2 linked regions of the Daphnia pulex genome follow. The protein of the gene in region 1 purifies or fractionates together with the protein of each later gene. This does not show direct contact. Links are inferred from orthologs where the notes say so. Each region holds a gene or a part of one and is shown on either strand. Other genes may lie near its edges. The genes, in order: ras-related protein Rab-5C-like and rabenosyn-5-like.

Region 1 (4,596 bases):
TGTGTGTCCCCCCTCGACTACTACCGACGCAAATAAACTATTGAAAAAGTTGCCCGTGCGTGCTGGAAAAACCTACTCCCCCCCTATACTGAACTTTATTCTCTCCCCTGTCGATATCTATCGAGATGATATTGCACAGCTGCTGGTGAAATCTTTTTTGAATCATCCATCAACCGTTGGTTGGACGACCCAAACTCTAAATCAGACTTGGCTGATTAACGCGGCCAATTGACTGATTAATTGGGTGTAGAGTGCCATTAGCTAAGTAGATGGGACGACAAAACCTACCGGCGGTTGACAGTCGATTGGACGGAGAATAATCGCCGGCGACTATCCAGTTCGATCATTTCCTGCAGTTCCTCCTGATCGGTTATATTCTTTGGTTGTTGTTGAATGGCCGATGACACCGGTGGCAGTAGGGAAGAGATGTTGATCGGCATCAGAAATCCGCATCCATCCGAATCTTGTCCGTCGAAAACCGCCCGATGGATAACCAAAACTTCCGTCTCGGACTCGCAAACAAGTTGCAGTATCTCCTCCTTGCAGGCCGTTCCATTTTTCAATTCTACAACAAAAATGTTAAAACATAAAAAAACAGAGGCCGTACATATTTGCTGGGGTGATTTTTATATACCTTGAGATTGCGCCGCGTGAACGATGACACAAAAGAGTAGTAATCCAATGATGAGTTGACGTGCCATTTTCTGAAATAACTTTTGTCCTTTTTTTAAAAAATTTTGTTGTTTTTCTCTCTGGTTTTTGGACGGATTTATTTCTTAGGTCATCATTGGCTGAAGCGACAAAACAAGTATAGACGCACACACAACACTTTTTTTTCGGTCGAGGAAACAAACGGAGACACGTGCGGATCTGTTAGCCGTCGCTGTGATACTGACGCCGCCGTGGGCCCCTGACGCGGACGTCAATATACACACACACCGGATTGCCAGTGCACTACTACCCCCGGATGGTTAACTCTATACTCACAGAGAGAAGCAGCTGTGCTGCTGTCGCGCTCTCTGATATATATTTATGTATATGCCGCCGCTTCTACTAAAAGGTAATAACGACAATTGGCTCTTCTCTTATTTTTTGAAAGCAGACGGCTTGCCGGGCGGGAATCCATGACGTTTCCGTGATTGCCAATTTAAGACCGAGATTAGATTTGTGGATTATTTGTATCTTATCCTCTACGTCGTCTCCCCCTTCCATCGCTTTGTCTTAATTAAAGTTTCCGGGGCGGATGGAGAGAAGAGAAAACACCTCCCCTCGATCTGGCCATTCGAGTGACTCTTTTGACCGCTAGATGGCTCACCAGAGCTAAATAGTACCGACGAAATTCACGGTTTATTCGATATCTACGTGGAATTTGTTTTAATTATTCTGCATTATTCATTACGAATCGTTAACGCTCGATATGTAAATGTTGACTAAGTTAAATAATAGATTTTTAAAAAATTTTGGATTTTTTCGAGTAAAAAAGTTATTTAACACAACAAGGTTGCCATGTTTCGATATTTGTCCGCCTGGTGGGCTAGTTCTTGTGTGTCCCTCCTCCCTGTTGTGAGGATTTCGCTTTTTCGCTGCGAATAATAAAATTTTTTCCAACACACAGCAGCGAGATAGCACTAGAGCAGTCGAATTTCGTAATCTTTACATGTAAAAACTATTGCCTACGTTCATACTATTGAAACTCTCTTCCTTCCTGTCGTCGTCATAAAGAAGTGTGTGTGTCATCAAGAGTTTTGACTTTTTGTTTCCCCCCACTGAACAGCATCGGTTATTTTATCCCTTGTGTAAGTTTTGTTCGTGTCGGTAGACGCCTCTCGAAAAAATAACAGATTTACTGCTATCTTTTTCCAATCAGCCCCTCCATAAAATTTTGATTTTTTCTTTACTTTTTCCTTATACTCCCTCCCCATTCTACTCGAGAGAAAAAATTACGTGTAACATTTCCCGTATAATATCGATATACCCACCCTACCACCGTCTGATGTTCAAGTGACGTTTCAAAATACCACCCCTGGCTGCTGGGTCTTCCGTCTTGTGTGTGGTGTTGTTTGGTGCCTTCATTTTTATAACGACGTGTTTTGCATTTCGTAACACTTAACAAACCAGCGGCTTGGAGGAATCGTATTTTGATTTTTTCCTAGAATTTTTCAAGTTCAGAATTCTCAAACAGTTTCCTGGTTTGGGGTATATAGCTTTTTGTTCTTGTTTTGTTTTAGTAGGTCAGAAGCACAGGAAGCCAATCAAATTCTCTTTTTTTTTATTCCCAATATGTATAAGGATTCTACCTTGGCTAATTTTTTTGCACAAGGTTGTGAACTGATGTTTTTTTCTTTCTTGTTGCAGCTTCAGTTTACAGCAGAGTCATGGCCAATCGTGGGAATCAAGCTGGAACAGCAACAGCAGCAGCCGGTGGAGCTGCACAGCGACCAAATGGTGCCACACAGGGCAAAATCTGCCAGTTCAAACTGGTGCTTCTCGGTGAGTCTGCAGTGGGAAAGTCCAGTCTGGTTCTCCGTTTTGTCAAAGGACAGTTCCATGAATACCAGGAGAGTACCATCGGAGGTAAACATGATTTCATCTCCACTCTTTGATCACAGTTGTTAATGTTGTCGTTTTCTTTCCAGCGGCTTTCTTGACACAGACAGTCTGTTTGGATGACACAACTGTCAAATTTGAGATTTGGGATACTGCTGGCCAGGAACGATACCACAGTCTTGCCCCCATGTATTACAGGTACGATTGATCATAAAACAAAAAGTGTCAACTTGTATCAATAACACCTTTGTTGATATTTGCAGAGGGGCACAGGCGGCTATTGTAGTGTACGACATAACAAACCAAGACACTTTTGGCCGGGCCAAGGTCTGGGTGAAAGAGTTGCAACGTCAAGCCTCCCCTAACATTGTCATTGCCTTGGCGGGCAACAAAGCCGACTTGGCCGCTAAACGTGCTGTTGAATTTGACGAAGCTAAAGGCTACGCCGAAGAAAACGGACTTCTATTTATGGAAACGTCAGCCAAGACGGCCATGAACGTCAACGACATCTTCTTGGCTATCGGTAAATTCAACTCATTACTCACATGCAATTATTCTTCTCTATGTACATCTTTCTTTTTGCACTTGACAGCCAAGAAACTACCTAAGAACGACGGAGCTGGAGGTGTTGGCGGAAGCAGTGGGCAGGGTAGGAGGCTAGACAGAGCTGAAGACGGCAACAAACCAGCTTCCTCGTGCTGCAAGTGATCACGAAATAATTAAACAACAAAAAAAAGAAACTAAACAAAGAAAAAAAACACATACTACACACATTTATGAAAGACAACAAAAACAACAAAAAAACCATATATTAAAAAAAAAGAAAAAATCATCCGTTCTTTGTTTTCTTTGTTTTTTCCACACGCGGGGATCCAATTCCTTTTCTTTCTTATTATTATTTTTCCCTAATTTTTTTTTTTGTAAACCATCAAAAGGACTTTTATATCATATCCCTTTACAGCATCCCCCTCCCCCCATCAGAATATAATTTGCAGCATTTAAATAGTTACAACCTTTTTTGGGGATTATCCGTTGTGTCGATCGTTTATTTTTTAATTTTTTTTTTATTCAAACGGAGCAGCGACATTCCAAATTAAATGGCGAATTTGAATTGGAAAAGAAAACAAGGCAAGGGTTTACAAAAAATAATGGCCTGACTCTGTATTATTAAATCTCCCGACCATCATCAACCATGTTTTTTTTCTATTTTGGTTTTTACATAACACACACCTTTTTTCCCCCCACGTTTTTACTTCAAACAAACTTGTGTGATGGTTCTTTTTTCTCGTGTGTAGAATTTCTTCCCCCCGTTTCTTTTGTGTATACTCGAACCTCCCCCCCGCCCTTCAAAACTTTTGTATATCAAGCTTTGTGAAACCTTGATTACCTTTTTTTTTTTTTATATACAAATCAATGTAGGTGTTCCACACATTTCTTCTCTATATACCTATTTAGCTTTTTCTCTCCTTGATCATGATCGTGGCCCTCCCAATATCTTTCGAATAATGTCCTAACTTGGATATCGTGTAAGTAACGCTGCTATATCAGGAAATGTACATTTCTTGCCTTGCCCGTTGATTTCATTTCATTCTTTCTTTAATTGGCTTTACTGATACTGATAAGCCTTTGCACTTTGGAAGTTGAAATGAGTGGAGAAATAACGAGAAAAATTTGGATATTCTTGTGAAAAGGCGAATCTATATTGATGCACATGGTACAAATACGAATGACATTTCACAAGAGGTAATTTTTTTTACAGCCAAATTTCAGCAGCTTTTGTCCAAGTGGGAACTCGTGGTGGTAATTAGTTTTCTGGTTCTGGATGACAGCTGACCCAGAATTACCTAGTGAAAGAACAGAACAGTTAGAGACAATTTACACGGCGTCATTAAAACTAGTGAACTTACCTAAGAATCAGACTGCCATTTGCTTCCATGTGACTGCGAGTGGTTGAGAATGGATTTACTTGGAGCGAGCACGCATCTTCCTGCGCTTACGCTTAAGCCTACGCATACGCTTCTTACGCCACTAAAGAAAGAAAGAGCCGGC
Region 2 (4,522 bases), about 2.3 Mb from region 1:
GTTACTTGGCTAAAAAGTAAAAACGTAAAAAGAAGAATCGTCTGCAGCCGACCCCTAGCGGAGCAGCGCGAAATTCTTATTTTTTATTTGACAGAGATGGATTTTGAAGTTTAGCTTTAGTCGTTAACATTTATAGCTTCACTCTTCAGTTATAAAATTCAAATGCTACTTAATTATTTATTTATTTAGTGTAAGATTTGAAAGTTTTCAAATGTCTAATTAGTGCCACACAATTTTCGCAAATGCTGCTTCTACACCTCCAACAGGCCTGAAATTTGATGTATTTTCTAGAGTTCATTCCTTTGGAATTGCATAATTCTTTTTCTAACTAGGAAGTTAATCATATGCATTTATGAACAAAAAAACGGAAGTTGCATTCATTATTATATATCGCATTCAAAATAACGAATATCACATTGTGGGGGGCGAATAAACATGTTATTTGACCATTCTATATTTGATCAATTGATGGAATGTCGATCGAAATCTTATGACTGAGACTGCATTCTCTCGTGTTCAATCTGAAGATCACGTAAGTTTGCCTCCAGGATAACAACATCGTCGTAACGATTTGCACGCCTAGTAGATTAGAAAATGAAAGAAAATGAATAAGGAATTTTTTTAATTTTGAAGACAGGATTTCAAAGCATAACCTAGAAATTCCCTAGTCAATAATTTTCATGTATACCTAGCTTGTTGAATGTAATTCCGCATTATTTGCATTTGCTGTAGCATCGGATCATCTGATTCATTTACGTTTCTTATGTTTGAGGTTTCTACTCCCCAACCTCTATCCACGGACACCTACAATTAAATAGATTACAATGCAACGCAATATTTTTTTAAGTAATCAGACATAAGCACTGTGCAGGATGGAAAAAAAGTAAAAAACTTACTGCTTCAAAATCTTTCTGATTATCCATGTGTTGACGCCTAGTTTCTGTTTCCCGTTTTTCAAAAACAGCTTTTTTCTCTTGAGCTATGCGCTTTTCGATTGCTTGACTGAAGAGAAATGGACGGGTAAAATGAATTCATAACTAAAAGTTAATTGATCTGCCTTACCGCCTCTCAGCTTGCAGCACTATAAGTTGTTCTTCAGTGGGCAAGTTCGGCAATCCAAGTAGATTTTCTTTCAAGAAGTTTACTGCAGAAAGACGAATTTTGAGTTGTAATGACAGAGCAGTGCCAGACGTGGGATTCTTCTCATCATCGATTCCCAGAGACTGGATTTTTTTACTAAACAATAAATAAAAAAAGTGTATCAATAAATTTACCAATAGCGCCAAAGAGAAAATTAAGAGAAAATTGGATACCTGTAGCCGTCAACGTATTCGGCAATTTTCAATAGTTTCAGACGACATTCTTGAGCATCTTTCAAATTGTAAGTAGATTCACCTTGACTTGTCAATTAAATAGAAAGTTATCATTTGTGAAACATTGATTTGTTCCTTAAGAAATTATGACAAACCTAAAAGATTCGAGCATTTTCAAGAAAACCGGCATGAGTTCGGCACCTTTTTCCATGTACTTCCGCATTTCATTATAGAGTTCGGCGATGACAGCGTTTTGACTCCGGCTGTCCATTTGCTGTTCGCGTCGTTCAAGAAGCTGGAAAACGTTTGTTATGGTTTTTAAAATTCTTAAACTAAAGCATTACGTTTGCGAACCTGTTTACAATAATAACAAACTCTGATGTGACCTTCTCCCGTATCGGTATCAATTAGAGAGGTCAGTGACGTCAAACTAGTGGTAGATCCAGTCCTTTTAAGAGCATGGACGGCAGCGTGAGTTAATCTCTTAGGAGGACTTGGTTTCTCCTTGTTGTCATCTAAGGTTGGAATATAGCTGGGATTTGTCAGTTTCCCTTGCAAAAAGTAAATGGGGAATAATGAGAAACTGAAACACAAAACATCTTTAAAAAAATACATTTGTAAAACAATAATGCTTACTTGCAAATGAAAGCAAGAGAAATTGACTGCATTGGTGGCATTGTACGGTACCACAGACACGGCAGTGATGTTTCCGTCTAAGTATGTTAAATGATTTAGCACATTGTGGGCATAGCTGAACATCCTCGTCGTTAACCCAAGTAACTATGTTTTGTTCATGCTCCCGTCTTTTCGCAGCTTCACTGGGTAAGCAAGATACAATTTTATCTAGTCGAATGATTAATTTGTTTGTTTCGGCAGCGTAAAAGTCCATTCGGTTACTCCGGAACTTACGGAAATCCGACCAGTGACTATGTATTACACCTACAATGTATTTCAATTAGATATAATGAACAGAGTGTTAACTTTTTGAAAATTTCTTACCAAAATCTTGAGGATCCCATTCAACATGATCCTGCTTTTGCTGACTGGATTTTGAACTGGTTTTCTCCAGAATCTCAAAAGGATTGTCTGACTTCAAAATCTTCTTAGCCTTGCCAAGAAAGTCTAAAACCAAAACATAATAAAAAAAAGTTTCTGTTAAAATAATTGTGTTTACATACATAAAACTTCCTACTGTGCTGAATATGATAGCATGTTGTACATAGTAATCGCAATGCATACTAATGAAACAAATGAAGTGGTTATTACCTTTGAAAGCCTGTAATACATCATTATCCTCTTCTGTATCATGAGCTTCTTCGAAATGAAGAAGTAACTGGTCATCTGTAGCCAAATCTTCCATGCAAATAGGACAAATAAATCCTTCTCGAATTCTGCTCTCGTTATCGTCTGTGTGTGTGCTGGTCGCCATTTCACTCAAATAGTTGATACTACTAGGATTATTGTATCAGGACAAATCACAAATCTAACCAATGTTACTCCAAATCTGTGTAACAACTTTTAAAAGCTTGTAATCCAGGAATAATTCACTTCATTTGTATTACGCCCATTCCTATAATTTCTTTGGACAGAAGCAGACGACGTCGTCTTACTTCCTATATTTCAATCGATTGTTAAGTATTGCGATACATGACAAAATGAACGAGTCTAGCGGTTTTTTTTTTACATTTCTAATGAATGATTCGTTTTTTTATTTCTGTTACTCAATAATTTCTTGCAACGCACTGAATAAGGAAAAACTCTGATATAAACAAAATATCGTATGTAGCGCTATAACTTTGCGTCCTTGGGTGTGTGTCCGAATATGTCTCGGTGTGACCTACCAAACAAATAAATGTAGAATAATCCAAATTAAAAAATCAAATAGAATGAAAATACCCAATTGACATTGCGCGTTGAGAACGACGTCTAGGAGAAGGATTGGTGGACGAACTGTAAGTAGAACAGAAAGTATCATTGTGTCCATCGGAATCAGTGTGGTGACTGTGGTGCTGACGTTCTGGTTCGCTCATTTCAATCGGATCCTGCCATTCTTCCTTTTCCGTGTCCGACGACGACTGGGAAACGCGTCGCGGTCCCACCGAAACTGCCGGCGGAGGCGAATGAGCCGACCGATGGACGACAACATCCTCTTCGACAATGCTGTCCAAGAAACGAGGCACCATCTCACTGTGCAACGAAATTGTGCTCTCGTGAAAGCTGGGCAATTCTCTTCCCTGCCGGAACGTGTAGCTGTAAATCTTTGGAGCCTTCTCCGCTTGAATCAACTGGATTGAGAAGCGATTAACGGCCAAATTGCCTAATGTAATAAGACAATGTCTTACCGTACATTCGTGACGGTCGACTTGAAGTAGGATCCATCCATAGTGGCAATCTGCTCCAGATCGGTGACCGAATCCATCTGGTGCGAAAGGAGTCCGGAGATGTTGCTCGATTCCGTCGAGACTCCGAATCCGGAATCGAGTTTCGTGTCTGACGTCATCTGGCTCTTTTCGACGTAAGCAGTTGCTGTAGCGTCGACGACCGATACTTTCGACTTCAAACTCGGTTTGTGCGGATTAAGCGACTGCAAAGATGGCTGCTGCTTGACCGAACGTCTCTCGACCACTTTGTTGATCAATTTCTCTTTGATGTCGGAGTCGACTTCCAGATCGAATGCCAAACTGCCTGGATGACGCAATTCGATAATCAGCATGGCGCTTCCGGTCAACAAAGCCACCAGACCAGTGACGAGCACAGTCCAGTAACAGCCGTCCAGTTTGAATTGGAGTAGGCTTCCATTGATGACGATGACTAGATCCAAGGCTGGCAACAATATCCAGTAGAGGAAGACGGCCATCAGGCCCAGCAAACCGGTGGTTATCATGGCAACGGCTCCGTGCTGCGGAATGACGAGGAAGAAAATGTTCATCCACGCCCAGCTGATGAGCGTCAACGTCAGGAAAAATTGGCAAAAGAATCCAGCCCTTCGGTAATCGACAGACCAGCGGAAACCTTCTTCCTGGTGACTAAAATAGTTGATGACGGTCAAGATGGGAACAGGCAATCCGCGTTCCAGGGCTTCCCTGAACTGCACTCGCATGTCTTCGGCCGTTTTCAGTTCGATCCGCTCGTTAAATTTGATGACACTTAGATCGCTCGCTTTCTCGTAGGATCCAGTGATCAGCTGGATGGAATCTCGTGGCAGTAAT

Evidence for each region.
Region 2: the proteins of ras-related protein Rab-5C-like (region 1) and rabenosyn-5-like purify together in Drosophila melanogaster (affinity purification with western blotting; 3 studies listed by BioGRID, with this or other methods). This does not show direct contact. The link is inferred for Daphnia pulex from reciprocal best matches to the Drosophila melanogaster genes Rab5 and Rbsn-5.

The regions. Positions count from the first base shown.
Region 1 is NC_060026.1:1,540,326-1,544,921, forward strand, and holds ras-related protein Rab-5C-like, read left to right. Parts: upstream 1-1,511; 5' UTR 1,512-1,659; exon of another isoform or gene 1,660-1,796; intron 1,797-2,008; exon of another isoform or gene 2,009-2,282; intron 2,283-2,355; 5' UTR 2,356-2,375; coding exon 2,376-2,574; intron 2,575-2,636; coding exon 2,637-2,745; intron 2,746-2,810; coding exon 2,811-3,070; intron 3,071-3,139; coding exon 3,140-3,255; 3' UTR 3,256-4,117; downstream 4,118-4,596. Other genes in the region: uncharacterized protein LOC124204766, read right to left, coding at 289-565, 635-701.
Region 2 is NC_060026.1:3,857,258-3,861,779, reverse strand, and holds rabenosyn-5-like, read right to left. Parts: upstream 2,937-4,522; 5' UTR 2,743-2,936; coding exon 2,580-2,742; intron 2,436-2,579; coding exon 2,313-2,435; intron 2,253-2,312; coding exon 1,950-2,252; intron 1,865-1,949; coding exon 1,668-1,864; intron 1,609-1,667; coding exon 1,469-1,608; intron 1,401-1,468; coding exon 1,314-1,400; intron 1,237-1,313; coding exon 1,063-1,236; intron 1,003-1,062; coding exon 897-1,002; intron 805-896; coding exon 689-804; intron 580-688; coding exon 489-579; 3' UTR 263-488; downstream 1-262. Other genes in the region: uncharacterized protein LOC124204889, read right to left, coding at 3,102-3,150, 3,210-3,598, 3,661-4,522.